Linked DNA regions of Nothobranchius furzeri. The protein of the gene in region 1 purifies or fractionates together with the protein of each later gene. This does not show direct contact. Links are inferred from orthologs where the notes say so. Each region holds a gene or a part of one and is shown on either strand. Other genes may lie near its edges. The genes, in order: RNA-binding protein with serine-rich domain 1, nfkbil1, snip1, upf3b, casein kinase II subunit alpha', ppig and nos1apa.

Evidence for each region.
Region 2: the proteins of RNA-binding protein with serine-rich domain 1 (region 1) and nfkbil1 purify together in Homo sapiens (co-immunoprecipitation; 3 studies listed by BioGRID and IntAct, with this or other methods). This does not show direct contact. The link is inferred for Nothobranchius furzeri from reciprocal best matches to the Homo sapiens genes RNPS1 and NFKBIL1.
Region 3: the proteins of RNA-binding protein with serine-rich domain 1 (region 1) and snip1 purify together in Homo sapiens (affinity purification with mass spectrometry; 4 studies listed by BioGRID and IntAct, counting the BioPlex papers as one, with this or other methods). This does not show direct contact. The link is inferred for Nothobranchius furzeri from reciprocal best matches to the Homo sapiens genes RNPS1 and SNIP1.
Region 4: the proteins of RNA-binding protein with serine-rich domain 1 (region 1) and upf3b purify together in Homo sapiens (co-immunoprecipitation; 5 studies listed by BioGRID and IntAct, with this or other methods). This does not show direct contact. The link is inferred for Nothobranchius furzeri from reciprocal best matches to the Homo sapiens genes RNPS1 and UPF3B.
Region 5: the proteins of RNA-binding protein with serine-rich domain 1 (region 1) and casein kinase II subunit alpha' purify together in Homo sapiens (co-immunoprecipitation; 3 studies listed by BioGRID and IntAct, with this or other methods). This does not show direct contact. The link is inferred for Nothobranchius furzeri from reciprocal best matches to the Homo sapiens genes RNPS1 and CSNK2A2.
Region 6: the proteins of RNA-binding protein with serine-rich domain 1 (region 1) and ppig purify together in Homo sapiens (co-immunoprecipitation; 3 studies listed by BioGRID and IntAct, with this or other methods). This does not show direct contact. The link is inferred for Nothobranchius furzeri from reciprocal best matches to the Homo sapiens genes RNPS1 and PPIG.
Region 7: the proteins of RNA-binding protein with serine-rich domain 1 (region 1) and nos1apa purify together in Homo sapiens (co-immunoprecipitation; 3 studies listed by BioGRID and IntAct, with this or other methods). This does not show direct contact. The link is inferred for Nothobranchius furzeri from reciprocal best matches to the Homo sapiens genes RNPS1 and NOS1AP.

What each region holds. Positions count from the first base shown.
Region 1 is NC_091752.1:58,150,660-58,154,641, forward strand, and holds the start of RNA-binding protein with serine-rich domain 1, read left to right. Parts: upstream 1-1,182; 5' UTR 1,183-1,304; coding exon 1,305-1,306; intron 1,307-2,208; coding exon 2,209-2,358; intron 2,359-2,454; coding exon 2,455-2,634; intron 2,635-2,713; coding exon 2,714-2,819; intron 2,820-3,121; coding exon 3,122-3,275; intron 3,276-3,372; coding exon 3,373-3,514; intron 3,515-3,588; coding exon 3,589-3,694; 3' UTR 3,695-3,982. UniProt on the Homo sapiens protein: Part of pre- and post-splicing multiprotein mRNP complexes. Auxiliary component of the splicing-dependent multiprotein exon junction complex (EJC) deposited at splice junction on mRNAs.
Region 2 is NC_091746.1:51,383,777-51,387,713, reverse strand, and holds nfkbil1 (NF-kappa-B inhibitor-like protein 1), read left to right. Parts: upstream 1-1,150; 5' UTR 1,151-1,229; coding exon 1,230-1,503; intron 1,504-1,586; coding exon 1,587-1,699; intron 1,700-2,468; coding exon 2,469-2,580; intron 2,581-2,670; coding exon 2,671-3,251; 3' UTR 3,252-3,437; downstream 3,438-3,937. UniProt on the Homo sapiens protein: Involved in the regulation of innate immune response. Acts as negative regulator of Toll-like receptor and interferon-regulatory factor (IRF) signaling pathways.
Region 3 is NC_091745.1:70,706,732-70,710,942, forward strand, and holds snip1 (smad nuclear-interacting protein 1), read left to right. Parts: upstream 1-1,411; 5' UTR 1,412-1,554; coding exon 1,555-1,715; intron 1,716-2,357; coding exon 2,358-2,487; intron 2,488-2,561; coding exon 2,562-3,097; intron 3,098-3,182; coding exon 3,183-3,435; 3' UTR 3,436-3,914; downstream 3,915-4,211. Other genes in the region: dnali1 (axonemal dynein light intermediate polypeptide 1), read right to left, coding at 1,098-1,175. UniProt on the Homo sapiens protein: Required for pre-mRNA splicing as component of the spliceosome. As a component of the minor spliceosome, involved in the splicing of U12-type introns in pre-mRNAs. Down-regulates NF-kappa-B signaling by competing with RELA for CREBBP/EP300 binding.
Region 4 is NC_091741.1:85,713,660-85,717,893, reverse strand, and holds the start of upf3b (regulator of nonsense transcripts 3B), read right to left. Parts: upstream 2,801-4,234; 5' UTR 2,675-2,800; coding exon 2,564-2,674; intron 2,341-2,563; coding exon 2,234-2,340; intron 2,158-2,233; coding exon 2,051-2,157; intron 1,964-2,050; coding exon 1,865-1,963; intron 1,719-1,864; coding exon 1,608-1,718; intron 1,259-1,607; coding exon 1,215-1,258; intron 1,121-1,214; coding exon 932-1,120; intron 859-931; coding exon 707-858; intron 621-706; coding exon 314-620; intron 223-313; coding exon 79-222; 3' UTR 1-78. UniProt on the Homo sapiens protein: Involved in nonsense-mediated decay (NMD) of mRNAs containing premature stop codons by associating with the nuclear exon junction complex (EJC) and serving as link between the EJC core and NMD machinery.
Region 5 is NC_091749.1:31,588,393-31,592,641, reverse strand, and holds the start of casein kinase II subunit alpha', read left to right. Parts: upstream 1-1,449; 5' UTR 1,450-1,775; intron 1,776-3,328; 5' UTR 3,329-3,430; exon of another isoform or gene 3,431-3,535; 5' UTR 3,536-3,598; coding exon 3,599-3,705; intron 3,706-3,786; coding exon 3,787-3,898; intron 3,899-4,085; coding exon 4,086-4,187; intron 4,188-4,249.
Region 6 is NC_091754.1:20,285,307-20,289,350, forward strand, and holds the start of ppig (peptidyl-prolyl cis-trans isomerase G), read left to right. Parts: upstream 1-1,244; 5' UTR 1,245-1,389; exon of another isoform or gene 1,390-1,585; intron 1,586-1,889; 5' UTR 1,890-1,904; coding exon 1,905-1,962; intron 1,963-2,374; coding exon 2,375-2,449; intron 2,450-2,537; coding exon 2,538-2,645; intron 2,646-2,869; coding exon 2,870-2,914; intron 2,915-3,001; coding exon 3,002-3,089; intron 3,090-3,185; coding exon 3,186-3,215; intron 3,216-3,302; coding exon 3,303-3,442; intron 3,443-3,522; coding exon 3,523-3,697; intron 3,698-3,767; coding exon 3,768-3,944; intron 3,945-4,037; coding exon 4,038-4,044. Other genes in the region: fastkd1 (FAST kinase domain-containing protein 1, mitochondrial), read right to left, coding at 1-28, 111-445. UniProt on the Homo sapiens protein: PPIase that catalyzes the cis-trans isomerization of proline imidic peptide bonds in oligopeptides and may therefore assist protein folding. May be implicated in the folding, transport, and assembly of proteins.
Region 7 is NC_091748.1:76,139,026-76,142,525, reverse strand, and holds part of nos1apa (carboxyl-terminal PDZ ligand of neuronal nitric oxide synthase protein), read right to left. Parts: intron 3,007-3,500; coding exon 2,841-3,006; intron 1-2,840. UniProt on the Homo sapiens protein: Adapter protein involved in neuronal nitric-oxide (NO) synthesis regulation via its association with nNOS/NOS1. The complex formed with NOS1 and synapsins is necessary for specific NO and synapsin functions at a presynaptic level.

The DNA.
Region 1 (3,982 bases):
TGAGAACCTTCATCAGCATATCTACACACACGTTTTACTTCATGATCTCAAGCACAAGTGAATGGGACATAAATGTAGGTTTTAGGGCTGTGCAGGTATTGAAACCAGATTTTAGGAAAAGTGAAGTTTTTTTAAATGAAATAATGTTTCTGCAAATAAAAATCTACTTTCAGCTCACACTTGATTCAGAAATGAACATGTATAATCAACATACCGTATGTAGCATCCAGTCACATGGCTGCAACAAAACCTCAGGTTAAATATTTTTTAATCATCCATTTAAATAGATAGATGTTTATGTATTTTGCAGACGCTTTAGTCCAAACTTTGGATTCCAAAGTGACTTACAAGTGATAATCAGCATGTTGCCCTTGAGGCTAACAACAACAGTAACAACAACAAACAATTTCCAGTCAGTTGGTGGCAGTGAGGCAGCATGATGAATCATGGAGAACAAGGAGTGGACAGTAGAGAGGGGATGGGTGCAGGGAGGGTGCTAGTTTAGAAGATGTTCTCTGAAGAGCAGGGTCTTCAGGAGTTTCTTGAAAATAGATGGACCATTAATGCCTCAGTTAAACATGGTTATTTGAAAGGTACAAATAATCAACTCCAGTAATCAGGAGACCAAATAATTAATCTTTTATAAAACAAGCATGAGGCTGTTTCACGCATGTGGATATGAGCTCACTTAATAAATCCTGGTTAAACCATGGTGAAATTACAGGCATGATGCATGATCATTTCACCTTTTTACTCCGGAATCCTTAAAAAAGAAATCCAAACGGTGAACGTTTCAAAACACAAACCAAGCCCCAAAACTTCCATTCTCAATGAAAACAGATTAATATGAATTTATTGATGCAGTCCGTCAATGGCTGTGATCTGTGTCTTCTTAAAGACAGCTGTTAACACTGTCCTAACGCGTAATGCGCTACAGCAACGCAACAGCTCAAACCGCATCTACATGTCAACATTGGACACATATCTACAGGAAAACAGATGCTAGCTGAGCTAGCTGTCAACAACATCTGTCATTAATGTACCTCTCTCTCTCTGTCAACAACAGCGAAGCCCCACCACCGTTTCAAACTTGACAAACTCATTTCATATCCAAAAGCGCGTCCGTCTGTGTTTCTACAGAGATGTCGGAAATGCAAGCTGATATTTCACCGTCAACGTCGTAAAATAAACAAATGAGTTGTAAGTGGCGCTCAAGCAGGAACGCAACTTCCGCTGGCGTCATCAACCGTCGACAAGCGAACAGGCCGCAAGTGGTGGAAGCAGAGCTACATCGTCCATAAAAAATGTAGGTTTGAGCTCTTTCCTGGCTTAAAACTGTCCGTTTTTAGTTGTGATGCTTAGTTAATCAACTCTGAAAACCCAGGCGTGTTTTACCGTCGTGTGCTTGTTGCGTGAAGAGCTGAGTGATCGGTTAACGGCATGGTCGGAGCTCTCCTTGTTTAGAGGCAGCGGGCTGAATGAAACTCGTTGGCGGCGGATTTCTGCCTGAGTGCTGCTTTTTCCTATAATAACATAACAAATGTTTACGATTTCCAGCAGACATTTGGTGCTCCCTAAACTATGTGTGATGTGGATTGTTTTTATTTATTTCAGTTATAAATCATGTATATCGTGTTTAGTCTCTTTCAGCTAGCTTACGGCTTGAATTTTTGGTGCCAGATAAGTTGTGTAATATTAGGAGAAAAACGTTATTAGTTTTTTTTATCAGTTGCTTTTACATTAAGGGATTTATTTTAAAATTGAGACATCAGTGTAGTTTTGATAAATGTTCAAGAAAATAAAATTATAAAAATCTTTGTTGCACAAAAGGAAATAAACCTACTGGGGTTTAATTATTCTAAACAAAGAGACAGAAGTTTATTGACTAGTCTGTTGTTTTAACAGCTGGAATAACAACTTAGCGTTCTGTGGTAATTCCACAGTAATGGTAGTGCATCACACTAAAGAAATATTCCTTAGCATTAAAGATTAAACACAACAGTTAAAATGTTGCTTTGTGTTTCATTTTAACTGACAGAAAACACAAAATACACTTTTTGGGTTTCATTTTCAGCTTGTTGAGATTACAGATTAGACCCAGATTTGAATTCTGCATGAATTTGAACATTCCCACAATTTGTAGCTCTTAGATTTGTTAAATCCATTTGTGTAAAACAACTAAACTAACAGATGTTTACATCACTTTAGGGCACCATCTCCTACGAAAAGGAAGGAGGAAGAAAAATCTAAAGATAGGGGCAAAGAGAAGACTGCCACCAAGGAAGGAGACAAAGAGAGAGGACGGGACAAAGTAAGGAAACGTCGTAGTGCCTCTTCTGGAAGCAGCAGCAGCAGCAGGTCTGAGTTCCTTCTCATTTGTTATATCACTAGAGAAATCTGTGCTAAAAATTCCTAACAAACCATTTCATTTGTTCTGATTGTGACCGGATCCAGATCTAGCTCATCATCCAGCAGCAGCTCTGGTTCTAGCTCAGGTTCCTCGAGTGGATCCAGCTCTTCTGGCACCAGTCGATCTGGATCGTCCAGCTCTCGATCGTCATCCTCCTCCAGCTCCTCTGGCTCGCCGAGCCCCAGCCGCAGGCGCCATGACAACCGCCGGCGCTCCCGATCACCGTAAGTCTTTGTTCGTGTCTCAGTGTTTACGATGACTTTTGGTTTCTAGTTATTTATTTACTGCTTTCTGATTTTTCAGGTCTAAAACACAGAAGAGAGGAGAGGACAAAGAGCGAAGGAAACGAAGCCCGATTGTCAAACCCACTAAGGTTCACTTAGGAAGGCTGACCAGAAACGTTACCAAGGTTAGCTTAAATGAAGAACATCTGCTTTCTCTTTCTCATCATGTCTGCTTTTATTTGAGACTATGATGCAATCTCAAGGTTATGTAAGTGCACAAGAACAGCCACGCACATCCTTAATGTGTAGTAATTAAAGATAAAATCTGAGAAGATTTTCTTGTGTGCATCGGGTGTGTTAGTCATCAGCAATGCTCTGCTCAAAACAAAAAGGAGAAAATAAAGAGTTTGTTTTATTTGTTTGGCATCAAGATAATTTTGTGTCAAAGTTGAGAGAATATCTGACCTTTCTATTTCTGTTGTACCAGGATCACATCCAGGAGATCTTTTCCACTTATGGAAAAATCAAAATGATTGACATGCAGATGGATAGGATGCACCCACACCTGAGCAAGGGCCATGCTTATGTGGAGTTTGAGACCCCTGAGGAGGCACAGAAGGCCCTTAAACACATGGACGGAGGTTGGTGTGCATGTTCAATTTAACAGCCTCTGGGTCTCAGGAACACTGGGGGTCTTTTCTGTGTGTTGATTATTTTTTATGACTATTATAAAAACAGGTCAGATTGACGGACAGGAAATCACAGCCGCTGCTGTTCTGCCTCAACGGATCCGTCTACCACCTCGCAGACTGTCTCCTCCTCGCAGAATGCCCCCACCACCTCCTATGTGGCGGCGCAGCCCACCACGCATGAGGAGGAGGTATCGCCTACAGACAGTTTCAGCCATAAACACACACACGTGTACAGGTAATAATGCCGTTTTTGTTGTTTCAGGTCTCGTTCTCCAAGGAGACGATCCCCGGCACGTCGCCGTTCCCGCTCCAGGTCTCCTGGTCGCCGGCGCCATCGCTCTCGCTCCAGCTCCAACTCCTCCAGATAAACTCATTCAGATGTCATGTGGTTTTCTACGCTGTGATGCTGATCAGCTACAACCCTCGTTTTCTCAGACTCCTTTGACTCAGTAGAAATGCCATCATCTACGCTGTATGTGTGGTCATAGCAAGAGTGCTTCTGTTCCATTTGATTTTTTCTTAAATTTTGTGCTAAGTTGATTCAGAAAAGTTAGCTTAGTTTTATGTTGCCTCTACCGGGATCTACAAACATTTTGTTTCCTTTTACCTTGTATTACGTCCTTTTAACTTTTAAAAAATAAAGATGCAGAAACAGA
Region 2 (3,937 bases), on another chromosome or scaffold:
TAAGATGCGCTGAAGTGCCAAAATAGTGACTACACGTGTCTGCAGCACGATTAGACACGCATTTACTATATAGTTTATCAGAAAAAAAAGTTGAATTTGGGGGTGACTTGCTCTTCAAGGCAGACCTGCTCAAATTCTTCTATTGTTCCAAATCGTGTGCAAAATCTTGTATTATGAACAAAATAAACCTAGAATATCTTTATTTTTATAAACATATCAGTAATTATTTTATCTAATTTCTCAAAGCTCCTGGTAGATGCTTTTAAAGAATCTGTGGCTGCTTATGGTTGAAGCAGGATATTAAAAGTCGGAAAGTGTATAAATTATTTAAAACTCCATCACTTGTACCAACTTTCTTGTTATTTAAGGTCTAATCCAAAATGTTATCTAAAGTCTAGTTTTCAGATCCTCCTTGGGATTTTAAATGTGTGTTCTGGTGTCATTGAGAGAATAAGAAAAAAAAAGATCTCCCTGTTATTTTAAATAAAGGTCCTTTGTTCAGTTGTCAAGGATACAGTAAGACCCCATCGGTCACTACAGCAGCTGTTACAGTTGTTTCAGTAGATTTAGTCATAACATCATCAGAATGAGGTCATGGACATTAAATAAAGCATAAACAGTGAACGGAATCATGCAACTTATTTCTATCAAAGTGTCTTTGTACTAAATGAAGGGAAGAGTTTTGGGGGTTGTTTTTCAGCAACTTTTGTTATGTTTCATACATGCAGAGATACACAGGTGACCCTTTTAAACTATGTTTCCTGAACAGGTGCTATGAAAATGTTCTTTTTTTTAAACGGAAATATGTTTTTTTAGGTTTAATGTGGAATTTGTGTCCTAAAATATAATATAATATGGGGCATCTAAAAAGCAAATACGATTAACCACTCAAAAAACTTTTTTAAAGCAGAAATACAAATCTGAAGAAAACACCTGCATCTAATTGAAATGGGAGGCTACAGTAGATTTTTGCTGCAATCGTTAGAATAGGAGTTTGTGACCATGTTAACTTTTAGGCCGAACAATAAATTATTATTTTTTTGCTTGACAATAAACTAAAAACTACAGGCAACAGCTACATCTTGTGGTTTTGTCGGAACCGTTCTGTCTCCGGAACGTTTGTGTAGGAACCTTTCCGAAACCGAGAGTCGGAGCTATTAAACAGACGGAGCAACGGCCGAGGCCCGACGTAAATTTCTAGATACATATTCTGTTTGTTTGGACACAACATGACTTCCCACCGACATGCCCGGGTGTGGAGGTACGTGGAGGAAGGGAGCTGTTTGAAACTGAAGTCGTATCTGCGGAAGCACCCGGACCTGGACGTGAACTTCTCCCGGGGAAAGAGGCAGAGGAGCCCGCTGCAGTTAGCCTGCTCACTAGAAGACGACGCTATCCTGCGGCTGCTGCTCAAACACGGAGCCGATGTTCTCCAGAGGGATCGGAGAGGAGACACGGCGCTTCATGTCGCTGCCAACAGGGCCCTGAAACACGGGAAAACAGGTGAGAGAGACAAAAGGGGGTTCGATTTATAAAGGTCACGGTGTGTTTCATGTTGGTTTTAACTTCTTTGTTTTTATTCCTAGTTTATGATGACTTGGTCATACCTCTCAAAAAGTCATGTCCCGAAGCTTTAAACGCTCAGAACCGAGCAGGAGTCACACCTCAAGACCTGCTGAAATGGATGAAACATTCGGAGGTAAACAACGACTTAATAAAACTAATTATATCCAGTCCAAAACTCATTTTCATGGGGAAAAGACGTATTTAAACCTAAAACACTCAACAAAATATGTTTCCTTTATGCATCTTCTGTTTGTATCCCATTTATTTATAGGAACGCAGTTATTAAAATTCATGAAGAGGCAGCTGTAAAATAGGACCCCAACAGGAAAAATTCCCCCACAACAAGATAACACTTAATACTGAGAATAAAATATATACAGTGAATATAAGGATTAAAGCAAGAGAAATATAGTTTAAAAAATGTGTTTTTTTTTTTTTTTTTTTTTACAGAAAAGAAACCTGGACATTGTCTAAAGAGCAAGTCACCCCCAAATCAACTTTTTTTCTGATAAACTAGATAAATGCATGTCTACTTGCTCTTTAAATCACCCGTGGTTCTGGAAACCCGAACGACTCTTTTGGAACTTCCACAATGGCTTTTCATAACTTCGGCTAGAAACAGTAAAACTCTGACTGTTGTTTTGAAATATAAATGTAATGAAATATACAGGTTTATGCAGTTTTTTTGTTTTGTTTTTCTTTTCATAATGGTATTAAACTTTCACAACAGGCAAATACAAAATTACCTGCAATAGTTATAATCTATCATTTTCCGCAATTATCAACATCCCACTGTAAAATAAAATGGATGGAAACTTGTCCATATAAAGTTTCAGTTCTCTTGAGTAGATTTTGGTTTTCCTGCACCTTGATGTTTCCATGTGTTCTGGTATCTTTCTCAGATTTCAGACAACACGGGCCGCAGACTGGAGGCTGACACTGAGAAGGAGTGGCTGGAGAAGCTGTTTGGGGAATGCGAGGATGAATTTTCTGAAACCTTCGGGGTATATGATGGTAAAATCAGAATCGTTATTGCAATAGTAAAGTTTGACTGATGCTTTCTATTTTTATTCCTAATGTTGTTGCATTTTTTCCCCCACACAGCTGATGATTATCTACCTGTTGATGAAGAAGACGGAGACTTTGGGGACTGGGCCGATCGCATCAGAAGGGAATATTTTGACAAAAAACACTCTGAAGCTCAAAGACTGGCAAGTTCATCTTCTAAGGGGAAAAAAGAGAAAAAGAAGGAACAAGCAGAGGAAAGCCACAAGAAGCTGCATGAAAGGCTGCAGCGGGAGCATGAGGAGTATTTGGCTCGAGCTGCACGTAAAGAGGAAGAGACTCGGCTGGGAAAGAAGCTTCGATATGACGAAAAGTGTGCTGCTACATTTAATGGTTCCTCCACATCAGACAGCACAAAGCTGCGCTACAGCGACATCCCCTGGCCGTCTCCAAGAGGCACGGTCCATGAGATGGTGGATGTGATGCTGCATGGCGTGAACCGGAAAGATGTGGCGGCGTTACGTAAAGCGATCCGGAAACAGCAAACGCTGTGGCATCCGGATAAATTCGCTCAGCGATGCGAAGCTCGATTAGAGGAGAATGAAAAACGGAAGATTCTGGATACAGTAACAGCTCTGTCACAGGAACTCAACAGACTGGCTCAGAGTTTCAGGACTTAAAAATCACTCAATGTTCTTCATTGGGCATGTGGACATATGTTTATCATATTTATTGACAGCCTAGATTTCTGTTTTCATTTGAATTTTAGACAGCTGTAGTTTCCTTTACAAGGAGGCTCGTGCTAAATAAATTAAGAAAAGCTGCTTCAAATGCATAAATGCAATAAATTATCAATTGGAACAATTCTTGAGATCTGATATCTGCATCATATTTTTGTTTTTGTCCTTCCCTCCCCTTTTTTGTTACCCTTAAAAATAGTCACCTATAGGTAGTGTGTGTAAAGATTTATTTAAGGAAATAAATTTCACTTTACTGGAATTGATTTACAAATTTGGATCTAACTGTAGTGAGTTATTTTTATCAAGCACCCACTGGAAACTTGGCGCTTTTTCTTTGTGAATTTATAAAGCAGACAAGACATGAAATGTCTTCAAAAATAAATTAAACTTGGTTTGAAGAGAAAGAAGTCCAGCTGCCATGTTTTAATCCATCTGGGATTACTACAGATTAACCTTTACTAGTATTCGGTCTGGTTGACCTTTTCTTGGAGTTAATATTATGTGGTCAATAATTTATAGCTGTTCATCTGATTGCCTTATTTATTAAAGTATTTTCTAAATCTTGAAAGAAATTGCTATCATCAGAAAATATTTTTGCTACATGTAGTGCATGTTTATCTTATTAC
Region 3 (4,211 bases), on another chromosome or scaffold:
ACTTCCGTTGTTTTGTTTGGCTGTGTCAGGTTGGAGGTAATTAAGGTTATTTAAGCAGTTCAGAGTTAATAAAGCGGTAGATATGATGTTTCACAAGTTGTTGCTAGAGTTATGTGAAATCTTACTTGTGATTTTACTATAAAACATAATAATAATCAACTTCTCCTTCATGTTTGCTCGGAGGTGTATAGAGCATCCTGTCCGCTCATTGGTCAGTGAATGAAACCTCCGTTGATTGGTCCTCGTCTGAGCGACAGCGATGAAAAGTTGAAAATGTTTCAACTTTCTGGGATCGCGTCGCTGGGTCGTCCGTGCACGACACGTGCACGAGTGCAAAATTTCACACGCACGTTTTTCGCGTTTCGCTTAGTAGGAGAGAGACCCCCGATTATCGCTTTGTCGCGCATGTCTCATTGAAAATGAATGGAGGAGAGGTGATGTCGCCTCCCGTGTGTTGAGCCCTTAACACTCATGCCTGATGATTTTCCTGTTGTGCCTCACTCATGTGTCTTTCTTCCTCTGTCCTCTCTCTTTTCTCCTCTTTTTCTGTCTCTCTTCCTCACAGCACTCCTGTCTTCTCTTCTGTCTGTACTAACAAAAATGTTGTCAATCTGTGGGACAGTGGGGGCGAGTGAGACTGCTGCACACACACAAAAAAAAAGACTGCTGCTTGCGTGGGCCCCCTTGTGGCTGTGGGCCCCTGGGCCTGTGCCCAGTTTGCCCATATTATAATCCGGCCTTGCCAAAAGCGCATCACGCACAGTGTGTGGGGTTTATGAAAAAAGCCAGATTATATTAATTATAGCATTAGCTACTGAACAACAAGCACACAAACAACACTTAAGTAATTAACTGGCGTTATTTCCCATCTGTATAATTTAAGCCGATGTGCTTTTTTCCGCTCTGGTTTGTGAGATGGGCAGCAGTTGTTGTTTTTTCCCTTGTCAGTGGCTCTATTCCCTTTTCCGTACAGAGTAGAAATAAATAAATAAAATGTAGGGCACAAAAAGTCTGGATCTCTTTGCTCTGTGTTTCTTCCAACAACTTCCGTTAATGGTACCCCTTCAATCCACACCTTTAGGGTTTGTCCGACTTACTTTGGTTGAGCTTGAGGCTGTCCTCTTAACCAAAACGGGATCGTCATATTTCAAGAGAGAATCGTCTAATTCAATCATCCTGACGCCTTTATGTACAGAAATAGCTGTTTATGTTGTCATGGTAACGTTCGGGCGTTTGCCGGAAAACAGAAAAAAAAAGATCTAAGCGCAATTTAAAAAAGAAAAATAGCTCAAATCCACTTGGAGTTGAATTTACGGCTTCATAAAAATATCTGTAGTTTTCATGATTTAATCCGTGTTATCTTTAAACGGAACGGAAGTCATCATAGCGGAACGTTTAGTTGAAAGCACATATACCACGTCGGAAGAAATTGTCAGCGCGCCAAACGGAAACGGAACGCAACTTTAGCAACCGTTTGGTGGGTTTTGCGTTTGTTTGCTTCTGTGGCTAACTATGCTTGCGTAGCCACAAAAAGTTGACGGATTTTGTTCAAAAATGGCCAAAGAGAAGCGACACAAGAGAAGAGATTCTCCCACGCGAGAGCCGGAAGTGAAAGTAAAACAGGAGAAATTGAGTCCGAGTAGGCCGCAGAAATCACGCCGCTCGAGGTCGAGATCCACAGACAACTCCAGTCCACAGAGGAGAAGAACCAGCAGGTAAACACGCGTTTGTCGCCCTTTGAGCACCACCAAGGTGATAATATTCAGATCTGATGTTCTTTATTTTCTAATAACTGAATTTAAATGTGACTTAAGTTGACACATCTTCAAAGGAAATGCTTTTTAGAAAAAAAAAGTTCAGATAATTTACGTTATTTCTTTATATCACAGTAAGTAGATTGTTATTAACACGTGTATTTACAACTATATCACGTTCAGCTTCAAGTGCCTATAGTACGTCAGTTAGATTATTAACCAAGCTCCTGTCTTACTCGAATGAGTACAAATCAAGAAACAATCAAAAGCATCTAAATATATAGTTTATATAGCTACATTTATTTAAATTTCTTATAATGTGTAGTAATATTCTAAAATCCAATGGCAATTAGCTAAAACATGCGTTTTAGCTAATCAAAACTTTATTAATTGGTATCAAAAACTAACATCTTAGATCCTCTACACACATTTTGGATATTTAATGCAAAGTCAAAGTATTGATTAATCTTGTTTAATTCCCACACCTGATCTCTTACAATCTCTAACACTGAAAGATGACTTTATTACTATTTTAGTTTGTAAATGCTGCCTAACTGATACGAGTGGCTTAAGAGTGTTTTCTCTTTTGTGCTCCTCACACAGGTCACCCGTGAGGACAAGAGACCGCTCACCAGGCAGAAGGGAGACCTCTCCTGTTAGACGAAACAGCAGATCTCCCAGAAACAAGAGAAATCACAGCCCTCATTGTAGCAGTGACTCTAGAATAAAGAGGGTGATTATAAAATTCTAAACTGAAACTGACTTGTCTCAACTTGTAGTCATGAAGGTTTTGTGTTTTTGTTTTAGGAGCGTGATGAGCATAGATCTAGCGGCGATGAGCGGAGGAGGAGGAACGAGCAGCCAGATGAAAGACGAAGCAGGTGGGAACATAACAGGTCCGGGGACCGGGATGGAGAGAGGCATCGTGAGCGAAACTCCCAAGTGACTCAGCAAGCTGAGCGGCGGCAGCACGATGAGCGGCGTAGGGAAAATCGGCGGCGGCGTGAAGAAAATCAAGAACAGGAGTTTGGACAAGCTGAGGGAGACGGCAGCGACTCGGGGGCACCGCCTGCTGATAAAGAGAAGCCCAACTTTGAATTGTCAGGGGCTCTCACAGAGGACACCAACACGTTCCGTGGGGTGGTGATCAAGTACAACGAGCCACAGGAAGCTCGAATTCCAAAGCGCAGGTGGCGATTGTACCCTTTCAAGAATGATGAACCCCTTCCTGTCATGTACATTCACAGACAGAGTGCCTATTTGTTGGGGCGGCAAAGAAAGATCGCTGATATCCCCATCGACCACCCATCCTGCTCCAAGCAACATGCAGTATTCCAATACAGGTATGTTGTATGTAAATGTTTTCACTGTGTGATTAATTAGATTTGTGGGGAAAATATACAACTAAGGATTCTGTTTATTCTGCAGGTTAGTGGAGTACACTCGAAAAGACGGCACCACTGGCCGCAGGGTAAGGCCTTATATCATCGACCTCGCTTCTGGCAACGGTACCTACCTGAACAACCAGCGGATCGAGTCTCAGCGCTACTACGAGCTCAAAGAAAAAGACGTTCTCAAGTTTGGCTTTAGCAGCCGCGAATACGTCCTATTGCACGAATTCTCCGACACGAGCGAAGTTGATGCAAAGCAGGAAGAAGAAGAAGACGAGGGTCTTGAGTAAATTACTCCCAATGTGTTTGTGCCTAAATTCATTTATGATGGATAAGACCAATGAGAATGTTAGAAAGTGGAGCGATGTATCTTGTGCGTGGGAATTCACACCACGTGGTTGGATTGTTATGTATATTGTGTAAATATTGAACTCTTGCTTAAACCTGCCACACCTGTCTCCAAGTAGACCTCCTTTCTCAGGATTAATGCATGGCTGATCTCATGTGTTATGTCAGGGTACATCATTGGAAAACCAACCTTATGTTTAGGAAAGCATTTCTTATTGACTTAATGAACATAAATACACAGAATATAATAATTGTATTTTTATTTTTTGCTTTTTTTTGTAGTGGAGGGGAAATACTTGATGCTATGTGTTTCTGCATCATTTATACAAAAACTTCCCTGTTTGATTTTGTCAGTTCAGGTGTATTGATAGTAAGAGTTCATTTTTCTACTGTAAATTAAAATATAGATTATTAAAAAAAATCTCTGTGATTGTTATTAAAGAGCAAGTAACGCCTAAATTAACTATTTTTTTTTGTGCTGATAACTTGCACAGATGAGTGTCTAATGGGGCTGTACACACGTGTAATCATTAATGTGGCAGTTTAGTAGCCTGGCAAGCCAGACTAAATAAATGTATTATTTACTTTGCAAAGCAAGAATTTGGTCTAGTTCACTAGGTTAGCAGTTTAGTGCGTCTTACTTAAAATTTGATACTTCAGCCCAAAACCATAATTATATCTCCATCTTTTGGTTAAAACCTCTGCTCCACATTTATGT
Region 4 (4,234 bases), on another chromosome or scaffold:
CGTGGCTCCGAGACGCCATACTGCTGCTCGCAGGCCTGTCTCTTCACCTAACTCAAATGAACAAAAGCAGAGGTCTGCTCAGTCGTCTACTTTCTCAGCCACGTTCTTGCTCTCAGTATCTGGTTTTCTGTCGGCAGAGTTGGATTCTCTTCTGTCTGCTCCTGGTGTGGCACGGTGGCGGCTCCGGGCCCCTGGCTGGTAAAGCTGAATGGCGGGTCGGTCCTGTTGCAAATAATATAAATAAAATATTACAAAAGGAAAACAAACTCAGAAATTATTTGGCACAAGTGTGAGAAATAACTGGAGTCCGTACCTTATTCCGCAGTCGCTCCCTTTTGCTGCTCTCATCCTTTTTGTTCTCTTTGGCAGCCTTCTCCGTTTTCTCACCGCGAGGGGAATCTGCCATGTTTTCATTCCTCTTCTTCTCCAACGCCTTTTCTTTTTTAATCTCCTCTTCCCGCTTCCTGAACGTGTTCTCTCCATCATGCTGCTCCCTCCTCCTCCGTCTTTCCTCGTCCTGCCGTCTGAAGCGCTCCTTTTCCCTCTGCCGCCGCTCCTCCCGCTCTCTGTCTCGATCAAAGTCCCGCTCCCTGAATTCCTTTCTCCCACTTTCATCTCTTCTAAAAGGAAATCACAGCTGGAGTTAAATCAGTTAAATGTACAAACAAAAGTGCAAAATGCCAGGAAAAAAAGAACAAGAACTGACTTTCTTTCACGATCCTCCTTGTTCTCGATGTTATGTCTCCTCTTCAGATCACTGAATGACCGGACCTCTTTATGTGGCTTCTCTGGTTTCTTGGACTTCTCTTTAGGCTTTTCAGACTCTGCTTCATCATTTCTATCTGGTTTCTTCAGGAGCTGAATATAAAGACACAATCATCATGAGAAACTTGAAATTGACAGATGCATTTTTTTTTTTCACTGCACGAACCTTAATTTTTGGTTCTTCCTTAACGTGGTCCTTGTCTTTCTCCGGCAGTTTCTCAAGTCTTTTCATCTTCTCAGCCTCTTTCCGTTTTCTCCTCTCCTCCTCCCTCCACTTGCGACGCTCTTCGTCACGCAGGCGCTTGCGTTCAAGCTCCCTCCTTCGTCTCTCCTCTCTCTTTTCCTCCCTGATTCTCTGAAAGTTAAAATAGAAAGTTTGATGGATTCTTGCTAACATGCAGTTGAACCAATTTATCCTAAACACCAAAAAACGATTACCACATGCTTACCTGTTTATTCTTCAGGTAGTCCAACAAGGGCGTGGTCTTTTTAGCTAAAAGAAAGGGGAAGAAACCCACAATAAGAAATCTTGTCAAATGCAATGCTCCTGTTTACATACAAGCAGTTATAACAGTCCCATTTTTGGTTCTTTTTTAAACACAGATAAGGTTTTTCTTTACCTTGCTGACGTTTCGTTTACGGCTGCAAACATCTTCAGAGCTGACGCTGATGGTGGCGTCACTTCCTACACATCCACATCAGCGGCAGCTCTGAAGATGTTTGCAGCCGTAAACGAAACGTCAGCAAGGTAAAGAAAAACCTTATCTGTGTTTAAAAAAAGAACCAAAAATGGAATTTGAAGACAAACACAGCAAGTGATAACGGTGCTGTCATAAACAAACCTTCAAGTTCTTTTGATCTGGCCTCGATCTCCTCCAACAAGGTCTCAGGCGTAGATGTCAGCTTCTCTTCGTCTCCGTTGTAATATTCAAGAAATTTTTTATAATCAGGATCTGATAAAAACACAAACATGCTGAGCTATAGATTTTTATAGATAGATCTCAAAATAGATATGTTAGGGACGAACATGGAGTTTCTTCAAGCTTATTTCTTTTTATAACAGAGAAGATCAAAACCACCAGACAGTTTAAACCCTTGCCTTCAGTAATTGTTCCACACTTCGAGTCCTTCTTCTTACTTCTTTTCTTGGCTATCTTTTGAAACGGCGCAAACTCCACAATGGCTGGATACTCCTGTCCTGTTGAATGGCCAAACATAAACAAGGACAGTCTCAGGTCAACGCTCTGGAACACTTCACAGAAAACTGGGTGTGTGTTCTTGATACCTCTGTTGTCTATGAACACATATCCATCGAATCGATCTCTGAAGAGAACAATATCATCTTCATTTTTGAAACTGATGTAAGCCCTCGCGAAGAGATGGGGATACAGGCTAAAATGACCGGAAGTGCCATGTTAGACCAACACAATGAAGGAAATGCTAACAGTCATTTTACAGGTGAACTCACCTGGTGTCGTTTGAGAAAAACTCCATGTAGTCCACCTCTGGGAGAGGCTGCAGCTGCTCCTCTAACTCCTCTTTAGACAGACTTGGTGGTAATCGTCTGATTACAATCTACGAACACATTGTAAAAAGTTCACTACCTTAATTACTAAGCAGGGCTTTGTAAAATGAAATTTTGGTCCAGTCTTTAAATGTATAATTTCAATCGTAGAACATTTTATCTGAAAACAAAAACAAAACAAAAAAGTTAAACCATGCTTTTATTTAATAGAACTACACGAATCCAAAACTGACGTCTGTAGCAACATTAGCTGCTTTAGCTAGCAAGTTTTACCTTTGTCATGGCCTCTTTCTTTTCTTTTGACTTCTCAGTCTTTTCTCCATCTTCACACTTTAGCTCCACTTTTTTCTCCTTCGGTCGAGTGTTTTCTTTGTCTTCTTTCATAGCTGAACGTCTACAGAGATCCACAGCCTGCTCTCATCTCACTCAACAGACTTGTTTACTTTTCAGAGAGTTAGCCAGCTAGCAGCTAGATACTAACCGCTCGAAACTTCCTTTCTGACTACTGAAGCTGCATTTACAAGTTTTTACCAGGAGGTGGCGCTAAATACAAAGCAATTACACATTTAAAAAAAAATGTTTTTGGTAATTACTATTTTCGGTAATTACTGGTAATTATATTTTTGTTAATGTCCATTCTAAAATATTTTTCTATAGTAAATTTTTTTGTAGAGCTAGGGTTAAGTCTGATGTAAAGTTAAGATTGAGATATGTCTACTGTCCACTTAGTGACACTAGACATCTTTTTATTGGAAACATTGCATTGTTTCCCTATTTGTGTTTCAAATTTTCCTTGTTCGTTACTTTTATGTATTTGATTAATGTATTTTGTGATACGTTTATCCCACGACCCTGCATGGACTAACAGGTATAGAGAGTGGATGGATGATACTTTTATTTTATTTATCTTTTAATAGTATTACCAAATTGTATCTTTATCTGTTTATAAAGTTACTCTATCTATCTATCTATCTATCTATCTATCTATCTATCTATCTATCTATCTATCTATCTATCTATCTATCTATCTATCTATCTATCTATCTATCTATCTATCCATCCATCCATCCATCCATCCATCCATCCATCCATCCATCCATCCATCCATCCATCCATCCATCCATCCATCCATCCATCCATCCATCCATCCATCCATCCATCCATCCATCCATCCATCCATCCATCCATCCATCATCTAGTAAAGTAAGTAAGTAAATTTATTTATATAGCACTCATCAAAGACAGAAAACCACAGTGCTTCACATAGATCAAAACAAAACAAATCATAAAGTCATAAAATCATAATGATCTTAAAAAAAGATTAAAACAGAAAAGTTAAGTCATTAAATGATAAAATACCATAAAACAGATGAAAGATGATTTCTAATTTTGAGTTAAAAATAAGAAAATAAAAGATTTAGGTAAAAGTAGCTTTAAATAAAAGGGTCTTTAGCTGTTTTTTTAAAAGTGTCTAAACTGTCAATGCTACATAAAGATAAAGGAAGATCATTCCAGAGTCGGGGTGCAACAGTCTGGAAGGAGCTATCCCCTCGACTTTTATATCTGGTCTTTGGAACATCTGGAACGTTCTGGTGAGTGGACCTGAGGGCTCGGATTGGAGCATAAGGCTTTAACAGTTCAGTAATATAGGGCGGAGCTTGACCATGTAGAGCATTGAAAGTTGTCGTCGTCGTCTTCCTCCGCTTATCCGGGTCCGGGTCGCGGGGGCAGCATCCCAACTAGGGAGCTCCAGGCCGTCCTCTCCCCGGCCTTGTCCACCAGCTCCTCCGGCAGGACCCCAAGGCGTTCCCGGACCAGATTGGAGATGTAACCTCTCCAACGTGTCCTGGGTCGACTCGGGGGCCTTCTACCGGCAGGACATGCCCGAAACACCTCCCCGGGGAGGCGTCCAGGAGGCATCCTGACCAGATGCCCAAACCACCT
Region 5 (4,249 bases), on another chromosome or scaffold:
TGGAAACTGCTGCCACTTAGTGGTCGGAGGTTGAATTGCAACAGGCAAAAGTAATTTATTAAATGTGTGTAAATTCGCAATAAAAAATTATACACTGCTTAAAACGATCGATTCTGTATCATAACACGAAATATTGTGACACTTAAGTGTATCAATGTATCCTTACATCCCTAATTTGTTTTATATTGCAAAGAAAATGAATGAATCAAGAACATTCAAATAAAAAAAATCTTGCAAATTCATTTGGGAAAAGATAAAAATAAGATTTCATTTGGTCGTATTTTAGACTTGAAAACTAGTTACATCAAATGTATCATGTAAAAATTATTTTCCAGCTCATGATCTAACCAGTTCGGCTGATGAACAGTAAAGTTGATTGTTTTTTATTGGCCACAACAAATATGAATAAAAACAAATTTAAAGCAGGAGACTTAGTTAAAATATCACATTATTGTCTCTGGAATCCCATATTTGTAGAAATTAGATTTATTAGATAATCCACCTTGCCAATATAAATTTAATGTAACATAACATATTATTTGTTTTGACATAGCTAAAATGTTAAACTCTAGAACTCCAAATATAATGAAGATACTAGTAATGGCAAGTAAAATAATTCAAATGTATGTTTAATTGCAGATATACGATAAAGTCAACATTTTGTTTTATCTATTTAGCATAGTTTATTTTTACTATTCAGCTTCTACACATTCAAACTATAACATTTATTTTACTTTACTTTTTTCTGATGGTCGTACACGATCCAGCTCTCCACACTTCCAAAATTATTTTAAAATTGTTTGATGGTTTAATTCATACATTCGTTGACATACTGGAAAATTCTGTGCCCATCTTGTCTCCTCAAATATTGATTTGGCGTTTAGTCTTCTTGAAATCATCTTTTAATAGTAAATTCGTTTATGATAACATTGTCTACTTTGAAACAAACACGTAGCTATTTTGAACGTTTTTCAGCTGATATGCAGGAAAAACAGCCGGTGAGACAATATAAAGTTAAATAACGTCGTATGCACATCACTGGGCATAGTGAGTAATGTCTCAGTCTGTCCCTCACAGAAAACAGACACAACTGGTTCTCAAAAACTCAGAAACTCCCAAAAAGTCTTGATGGTAGATTTTAAACCATGAAACAAAAATGGTGAAAAAACCAAATAATTATAGAATAATGAAACTTTTGAATAATGTTACGAGATTCCCGTATTTTAAATAATTTTAGGAATATTAATTGTATAAAAACATTTTCATTGTGACATTTATTGCAGTCTTTATGAAGAAAATATTTAAATGTCCCGTAACTTAAAAGTAAGTGCAAACAGACTGAAGAGCACTAGTCAGGTGCGGTGATTCATTTCGTGTATTAATTTTATTTTCTGGTCCCCCCCCCCCCCCCCCCCCCCCCCCCACACACACACACACACACACACACACATTTCTGGCTGATGGAGGAGCTCCGTCTCGGTTAACTTCCGGGTGATGTTTACCGCAGAACTGCTGGATGTGCCTCCACCACCACCGCCACCCATCAGTCAGAGTCAATCAATCAGACACATTATCAATCACCTCGGACCTGCTGGGCTTACATCACCGCGCGGACATCAAAGTTAACCCGCGAGCCAACGACCATTGATGACGTTTTCTGCGCTCCAGCTTCCGACGACGAGGTTAGCCGGCTAACTTTAGCCTCCGAAATGACGACGCTGATAATTATTGCGGTTAATTCGTGTTTCGTATGCAAGAAGATGTGAATTCAGACGGTAAATGTCTTTGTGATTCCACATTTTTGAGGCAGAGTTTGTATTTTAAAGTTGTATAAACTAAACAGGTAATCGTTACTCGTTAGCTTAGTTAGCATCAGTTGAATTTCTAACAGAGGATGTTACCTAATCTTCCTGACAGTTACAACTGGTCCATCTAGTTAGCTTGTGGAGTAGCCCGTTGTTCACATCCTTCATAGCCGTTTGAGGGAATTAAATGTGTATTTGAGAGGAGAAGCTCTTCAGAACCAGAACATAGCGGTGATGGAGCATGAACGGGCCTAGAGGAGAGGAATCTGTAGACAGCAAATATATCAGACTTCCAGAGCTACACGTTACTTTAGAGAAGTATACACCGATTTAAGAAAGGTGTGAATAAGCTCAAACGACTGCTAAGACATACATGGTGACGGGAAGTTTTAATATGTCGGAAAAAATTATGATAGACTTAAAACGGCTACGAAAGAAACGTTGAATTATAGGAAACGGATCAGGTAAAGATCAACATCACAAAACAAGTGAAACACGATCTGATCAAATAAAACATCTTTTATATATTTTATTGTACATAGTAGTTGAAAAAAATGTGGATTTTTGAGCCCATATCTACACAACCAAAGTCTTTAGGGATTTTCAGAGAACAGGGCAAGGCAGTTTTATTTATTTGGTACATTTCACACACAGAGGCGGTTCAATGTGCTTGCCAACTAACAAGAATAACAAGAACATTAAAATCAATACGACATCACAATTATAATACACACAAATTCAATTTAGATTTAAAAATGAAAGAAGAAAGCAGTTACAGTGCAGAATGTGCAGTGTTATATAAACAGCCATTCAAAGGCTGATGAAAACATGAAAGTTTTCCATTTTCATTTAAAAGTTACATGAGTTGAGTTGGGGCACATTTGAGGTCATAAGCAAGCTGATTTATTCTGTGTGCAGCATTGTAGCTAAAAGCAGCGTCACCCTGTTTGGTTCTGACCCAGGGTTTTACCAGCTGCCTGTTTACTAAGGATCTCAGAGCCCTGCTGGGTTTATGTACCTGAAGGAGGTCCGACATGCATTCTGACCCCATGCCATTGAGTGATTTTTAAACTAATAGAATCACTTTGAAATTGATTCTGTAGTTTACTGGTAACCAGTGAAGAGATTAAGGAACAGGAGTGATGTGTTTCGCTTCTCTTGGTTCTTGTTAAGGCTCTAGCAGCAGCATTCTGAATAAGCTGCAGTTGATTCACAGCTTTCACAGATCATTTTAAATGTAAAATTGTTAAATTTTAGAAATATTTTTCTAAAAATTTCTTGAGAATTGATCTGCAATAATTTGTTCTAAAGGCAAATGAAAAGTCCAAAGTTGTAACTTATTTTGTCTAATTGTTTAATGATTATTTATTTTTACTAACTTTGCACATTTGCATGCAGCTGCACACTTGATACTTTTGTTGTTTTTAGACCATTTTTATACCAGTTATATGCAGATAACAGCCAAGTCGGTAATAAAAAAATAACTTCCAGGTTTTTCTGCTCTTTTCTTTTTTTCCCAACAGCTGGCGGTTCTTCATCCCATCCTGTCTAACATCCGTCTCAGGGGCTTCACTCAGTCAATAATTGTAGCTTTGTCGGTCTGCACAGCCACCCCTGTGGACCAGGTCAGTGCTTTTCACCAGAGAGCACAAGCAGCCAATGCCAATGGTAAACACAACACAGGGATCTTAGAGCCTCAAACTCAGTACAGCCGCTGCGCTGCCTTCCAGTATCGCGACAACAAGTATTCTGAGGAAGGGGGAGTTTCCCGACACGGAGCGTCGAAGCTCGCGATGCCCGGATCCTCGCCGGCCAGCAGCAAGGCTCGGGTGTACACCGATGTCAACACACAGAAGAACAGAGAGTATTGGGACTATGACGCACACATGCCAAACTGGAGGTACAGAATATCTTACTACAGTTACCATCAGCATAATCAAACAGCTTTTTATTCACACTTAAAATATTTTTCTCTTTTCAGCAACCAAGACAACTACCAGCTGGTGCGCAAACTGGGCAGAGGGAAGTACAGTGAAGTATTTGAGGCCATAAATGTAACAAACAATGAGAAAGTTGTGGTGAAAATCCTCAAGGTGAGATGTCTTGACTTCCCAGCAGTCCATCCTGTAACAAATGTCATGTATGTAGGTTTATTTGTCTTACACAATTGTCTGAGTAATCCATTTTCATGTTCTGAGGTCACGGACAAAGTGCTTAGACTTTATTTTTCCTTGTATGTAGCTTTTTTGAGTGGATCTTTGTACCTCCTTTCATCCTCAGCCCGTCAAGAAGAAGAAGATCAAACGGGAAATAAAAATTCTTGAAAACCTGCGAGGTGGAACCAACATCATCCGCCTGATTGACAACGTCAAAGACCCAGTGGTGAGTCTGAAACACGCTGTGGCTGTTTTGCATGTCGGCGTGTCAGCCGCGTTAATCCGGTC
Region 6 (4,044 bases), on another chromosome or scaffold:
AAGAGATTCGTGTGGTTCCACTTTCAGCCTATGCAAGAGAGGGCCATTTATTATGCAGCAACTAAATTTCATATAAATAGTCACTAAACAGATTGATGATGCTGAAGTACCTGAGGAAAGCATAAAGTATGTCAATCAGCATTAAATCACTCATAAGAGCAATTTTATTCTCTGCCAAAACCTGGAGAGTTAAGAACTGTGGGTGAGTCTTTGTGAGGTCAATGGTCCTGAGGAGTTCAGGTCTCTCTTTCTGGAACTGCCACAGCATCCTCACAGCACAGCTGACATGGTCCACAGTCAGCTTGGCTTTGTTCCTGCTCACCACATCAAACACCTGGTCTTCATTGGAGCAGACCCGCAGACCCTCCAGGATCTGGGTTCTGTTTGCTGCACCACAATGAAGGAGCCGTGTGAGGCAGGGGTTCACACATCGGAGTCGATGCATCCTCACACACCTGGGCTCAGGCTAGGTCTTCATTTCTCTGGTGATTTCCCAGCTGTTGGCACAGAGGAAGGCTGAACCGTGACATAAAAAAAACAAGATTTTGTTTTTTCTGGAGATCATTTGAAAACACATAAAGTAAAAACAATCAAATAAATGTGAGAGTGATGATACTAAAAGACTTACATGGATCAGTTATTCATGCTGACTTAATCTCAAAGATGGGAGGAAACATTTACTTTGCTCATCTAAGTTAAATGCACCGTGCTCACGTGGATGCGCCAACAAGCGGGGTTTTATCACCGTTTACTTACGAGTTATTAGCTAGATTTCAGCACATTAAATAATTAATAAATTACTATTGAAAACACAGGATGCAGTCAGTTATGCACCTCAAAGTCAAAATTACCTTACATGTGTGCAGTGGAGTTTTACTTCCGTGTCAAGTGACGCAATACGAGGAGGAATTTTTACCTGGGTAATGCCTTTCAGGCGTCAACTCTTGTTAGATCAGTTTGTGTAAACGTCTTTACTGTCGTGCTTTTGCACCACAACTGATCGTAACTGAGTATAGTTTGAATCAAACAAGGGCACGTTTCAAAGTGTTTAAACCAAGATACAGCGAATGAACCAACCGGAACACTAATAAGGCAAATGTTTCCAGTTAATGGACAAAAGTGGTAACATATATTGGAGGAATCGTGATTACGGTGGTCGAATCGTGAACTCGCACAAAATGACCCAGTTGAATCCCAGGGTATGCGTTATCGATGTGTAAATGTTGTGCCTGGCAGGTAAAACGTAGGAATCAAATACCCCACGACGTTCACTGGCGCAGGACTCGACGTGCCCTGCCGCGCCATCTTTAGAAAACAGTGAGCTAAACACTGAATGAAACTTAAACTTTGTCGTTAGGACGGTTCACTGTATGGACCTTGGTTTTCAAGGTGATGCTTTTTTTTTTTACGTAGCTGACGCGTTAGTATCAGTGTACTGAATATCTCGAACCTGGTACGTTTCACACAGTAATAAAAACGCCATGCGTGGCTGTGCCGCTAACAGATGCTAATGCCGACGACAGGCCTACCGATGCTGAAGCGTGTCGATGTTAAAATGTTAACATGGTAAAATTATGCTTAACAAGTACGAAAACTTCAACTCTTTCTATAATTGAGCAGTATTTTTTGATCATTTAATGCGCAAATGAGGTTCAAGGTGGCTAATGTTAGCTAGCGAATTAATAAACAAGCAAACGCCACCATTGATTCCCGTCACTCAGTGCCTTTATTTAAACATAAGATCTGTTTTAGCACTAAATAATGACAAAAAGATGCACGCCATACTGAGTAATTTCGTCTGCAGCTTATTTTTGATGGATCTGTTTTTACATTGTGAGTTCGTTTTCCAGATATGACTTATTTCTGTTATTTGTGTAATTTATACACAGGTATTTTAAGTGATCATGGGGATCAAGATTCGCCCTCGCTGCTTCTTTGACATTGGAATCAGTAATGTTCTTGGTGAGATTAAGGCTTTTTACGTGCATGTTTATTTATTATGTTGATTTATTTATATTCAGTGCATTTATTTCAACGTTTGTGTGTTGCCGCAATAAATCCAAATCTCACTGGGGCTCGTTTATTTTTATAGCAAGTATCCCATTCTTGCCAAATAATCCATTAAATATGTAAGGACAACTAATATCAAAGTATTTTGTCATAGTTTTTGAGCTCAAATGTTTGTAACAAATGTACCGCAAGGTTCTTAGACAAGCAAAAATAATTCTACACCCCAACCAAATTGCATTCATATTTACATTCAAATCAAATGCAATTGTCTAAACTGCATATTTATAGTTAGTTGTACTAACTGCAGTGACAGTTGTGTGGAGAAAACAAAAATAAACTGTGACTCTCTGGTGTCTCCCCACAGTTGGCAGAGTTGTAGTGGAGTTGTTTTCAGACATCTGCCCTAAAACCTGTGAAAACTTCAGATGCCTCTGCACAGGTTAAAAACCTTTTTTCATCAGTCTTTGTAAATTATTAGAATTAAAAATGCAGATCAGTTACTACCAAGCTTTTGTTGCTTCATCCAGGCGAGAAAGGCCTTGGTAAAGGAACTCAGAAACCCCTGCACTATAAAGGATGCCTTTTCCATCGAATCGTAAAAGACTTCATGATTCAAGGAGGAGACTTCAGCGAAGGTGGGCTATCAGGCCTTTAGGATGCTTGATTTGGTGTTGAAAGTTCATTACATGTGTTCACAATATTTGGGGAAATATTGTCTACTTGTGGTAAGATTTTTCAGTTATTAGCTGCACGTACCAGCTGAATTTCATCTTTTACCACTCAAAGTATGAATGCAGATGTCCTAATTAAACATCTGCAAAACATTCAGACTCAATTTTTTTTTACGTTTTCAATACAGGAAATGGAAGAGGTGGAGAATCCATCTATGGAGGTTTCTTTGAAGGTAAAGAAGCACCAATCAGAACTGACACTCATCCTCGGGTCTGGCATTGAAGTCAATGTGGTGTCACAATCTTGTCTTTTCCCCCAGATGAAAGCTTCACTATTAAGCACAACAAGGAGTATCTGTTGTCGATGGCCAATCGGGGCAAAGATACAAATGGATCCCAGTTTTTCATGTAATTGTAATTTTATTTCATTAAACATTGTTTAATTTGTGTACTTTAAATGTTGACTTAATCCCTCTCTTGTCCATTCCTGCTGTGATACTTTAGAACAACAAAACCTTCTCCGCATCTGGACGGGTAGGTGTCTTCTGATTATTTTAGGTTTGTTAATTGCTTTTTGTTATTTAGCTCACATAATACATAATTTCCCTTTTCTGTTTTTAGTGTCCATGTGGTTTTTGGTCATGTGATCTCTGGCCAAGAAGTCGTTCAAACCATGGAGAACCAGAAAACAGATCCCAACAGCAAACCATACGCAGATGTGAAAATCCTTAACTGTGGAGAGCTCATACCCAAATCTAAAGGTTTGTGGAAACTGGTCATTTGTAAAAGACCAGTTCTGGTTATCAACTGGTTTTATTTTCTCTCCAAAATATTTTCCCAGCAAAGAAGGAAAGAAAGAAAGAGAAGGCCGGCTCTAGTTCCAGCGGGAACTCCTCTGACTCTCAGAGCTCCTCGGAGTCGTCCTCCGATTCAGAAGAATCAGGAGCAGAATCTAAGAAGGAGAAGAAGAAAGCAAAGAAACTAAAGAAGAAACAAAAGAAAAAGGATAAGAAAACGTAAATTTGAATCTCATTTTTGACTGATGCAAAAACATCGTCATATTTATAAGGTGCAACACGTTTACAGGTCTGATGCTGAGAATGCGGAAGAAAAGGAACAAGAGGACCTGGTTACGTCTACGGTGCGCCCTGAAGAAATACCACCCGTACCCGAGAATCGGTTCCTCATGAGGAGAAGTCCACAAGCTGTCCAGAGGTCCGATGAAAACGATCAGAGAAAGAGAGAAGACCGACCGAGACATAAGTTGGTGGTTTATAAGCATTTGAGAGGTCTGAAGTCCTAAATGATTCCGTCGTCTGCTCATTTTCACGTCTGGTTTGTGTTTTCTCTTTGCAGCATGGGG
Region 7 (3,500 bases), on another chromosome or scaffold:
AGGTATCGGTCCTGCTGACGGGTTGTGTACCTTCTACGGCCCTGTCCAGCTCTCAGAGAATAACCGCCAGTCTCCTGAAATCTCCTCCATGTTCTGGAGATTGTGCTGGAAGACACATTAAACCTTCTTGCTGCAGCACGTGTGGATGTGCCATCCTGGAGAAGTTGGACAACCTGTGCAACTTCTGTAGGGTTAAGCAATCGCCTCATACCGCCAGTAGAGAGCCAAAACCAGCACGAGTGGAAAACCAGCCGAAAAAGATCAAGAGGGAGAAACTTGAAATGACCTCTACGTTTTAAACCAGTCCTGTTGTGAGGGTTTTGTAATTGTTGCCACTTTAGTGCACCTGTCTTTAAGTCCATGAACACCAATACAGCTGAAAGTGATTAACAATGCCCTCAGCTGCTTAATCAGGAAACCAGGAAATTATCAGACAGGTTTAATTGATTTCATGCCAGGCCCAATAAAAACAGTGTTCCTTTAATTCTTGTGAGCAGTGTAAGTGTATTTCCAATTTCCCTTGCCTAGCACACAAAGCTCGACTAGTTAAAACAGCATCTTTAACTCAATCACTGCCAGCGTTTTTCAGCATTTTCACATTTTTTACGGCAGCGGCCCAAAAGGATCTCCTAACACATGGACTTTCTGCTTCCTGATCACGTGACGTGCGACGTATGCGGATGAAGATCGGCTTTGGAGCTGGGATGTTTGTTCTCACGGTGTGGGGGCTCGTCCGACGCCCACACAGTAAAAAAAAAATGCAAATTTGGCAGTGAATTAGTTAATTATGAATGTTTGATCAACCAACCAGTCCTGAAGGAAGCAAGATAGTTCTGTTAGATGTTGAAGAGGTCAAGATTCACACACGGACGAGGGGTGACAGCAGCCGGGAGGTCAGGTGTGAGAAATTGTGTTCCCCTGAAATATTCTGTTTCTCCAGAAAACGATGCAATGTAATAATGTCATGCTTGTGATGTATTTCTTTATCTATGTGTCCTCCTACAAACAATAAAAAAAGGTACAGTAAAGACATTCTTGTTCCAACAAGCTTTTTTTTAATCATTTTTGAAAGTTATGTAAAAGGAAATAATCTCAGTCAGGTTAACTGTCTTTATTTGAGGTAGTTTATTCCTCATAATGGACAAGAAGTCATGTGAATTTGGAAACATTTGCTCTTGAATGCCTGAGGGAAGCAGAATGTTTCAGGGGAAGATAATTTTCCACAACACCTGTATCACGTAGATCTTCAAGGCACTCGAGGAGTACAGACGCTTCTCTCTTTCGCTCCCTTATCTTTTTTTCCCAAGGCTCTTTGTGCTTTCTGCCCACAGAGAGCTTCTCTGCGTTTCTTCTGAAAAACTCTATTTTTACTAACCATGGATTTGATAAACTGGTCATTCAATGCGATCGATGATTTTTTTCAACAATGAGAACGGAGCAGGGGGCTCCCACATGACCACAGGGGACACACCCGGTGGGGTATATGCTGGATTCCTGGAGGGAATGGTTGATCATATGCCTCTCCCAGCTGTCCACTGAGGACATCGAAGACGTGTGGATATTCGGCCTGATGATGATCACTGGATTTCTCCTGATTGGAGTGGGAGGATATCTGGTTTTCTGGAAATTTAAGAAGACGGGAGAGATTGGAGGGCGACCCGCACCCACGGAAAGCACCGACCGTGTGGAGACTTCTCAGACTGGGACGTTACTCAAGGTGAATCGTAAGCTGGACAATGTTCTAGCTGCGATACCGGTATTAGTGCGCAAAATGGATGTCATCTCGGAGAGTCACCGGACGGTATGGACAGGCTTAAAAACCCAGAATTGGCTTCACTGAAGGACTGGAGTGATCAGTTTAAAGACTGACGGCAGAGAGGAAAATTATCTCAGCCTGACCCAAACAAATTCTTGTTATCCAAATCTGACGCCTTGGTAGCCTTGAGCTGCAAGCAAATAAACCCCCCACGAAGGGATGCAGACAGATGCTGTGAACCCTCCCCCCCCACACACACACGGATTGGTGGACTTCAGCCTGGCGAGGTCATCAATCTGTAGGAGTCAATGTACTCTTTGCTTCTCCCAAGATCTCCCTCCCACCTGTGACTACAGTGGCTGAGCGCCGTAGATGGCTGCTCTTGCTGGGGGAAACAGGATTATTGTTTATTGTTCAAACTAGCTACACCGAACAAAAATATAAATGCAACGCTTTTGTTTTTTGCTCCCATTTTTCATGAGCTGAACCCAAACATCTGAAACTTTGTCTACATGCACAATAGACCCAAGACTCTCAAACGTTGTTCTGAAATCTGTCTACGTGTGTTGGTGAGCACTTCCCCTTTACCAATGGCGCTTACACATTAGCGTCGGCACGGTCGGGGTTTGGTCGAGCTGGATGGTGTGAGTTTGGCCTCGAACGGGCGGTGTGGTGTTCACATAAAAATCTGGGGGACGTCTCAGGAATGCGGAAATCCTCGAGCCTGTGGGCGGAGTTAAAGACGCGCGGGAACATCCGCAGTGTCCTCCGTTGTAAGGTAAACAAAGGTGGGCATGAGCTGTGTTGCTTTTGGAGACTCTGAACCACATTATTTTATTAATTTGCTGTGTGTGTCCTCATAATCTTGTGTGACGCTAATGTGTAAACGTCACAAGAAAATCCATCCCACCTCACAGGTGTGGCATATCAAAGGGACATGAATAATGTACAGGTGTGCCTTAACTGCCCACAATAAATGGACACCCTGACATAAGTACAGTTTTGCTTTATCAGTATCTGGTGTGGCCACCATTTACCTCACGCAGGGCAACACATCTCTGTCACACAGAGCCTTTGAACTTACTGGAATTTGGTCCGGCCATCTTGGTTTCCAGCTCCTGGATCTGTTTAACCAGCAGCGAGATGTGCTGCAGCAGGTCTTTGTTCTGCAGCAGCAGCTGATGGACCCGAGCCTGGGCCTCCAGCCGAGCCGTGGCCTCGGCGCTCAGCTGGTCCTTCAACAGGTGGACCTGCACGGAACAAGAGGTAGAGGAGAAGAAAGCCGAGAGAATCAGGAATGTTTCAACCATTTTCGAAATTCTCTTTATATTTTTACATTTTTTATTTTTGTGAAGCGCCTCGTGATGTTTATCTTGAGAGGCGCTATAGAAATGATATTTTCTTCTTCTTCTTTCCAGTCCATTGTTCTGAAAACCCGGAGCGTTTATAGGGTTTTAATAAAGGGAGCAGCTGCATTAGTGGCAGTTGTGATCCTCATGTAACCTTAATGCCGCGGCCTGCTGCGGCCCCAAGATTAAAGCCGAGGCTCCGTGTCCATTTGAGGCTAAAAAACTTTCCCACATTGAATGATTTTTATAGAAGAGGAGGCAGACTGTACAGTCAAATGACTTCCAGCAGCAGAGACTCCCTGCTCCGACCTTAAAGTCCTCCCAAAATCAAACCTCTCCTCCCACTGTGTTCCCCCGGCTCTGGTCCGACGCACCGAGCTGCTTTTTAAAGTTCA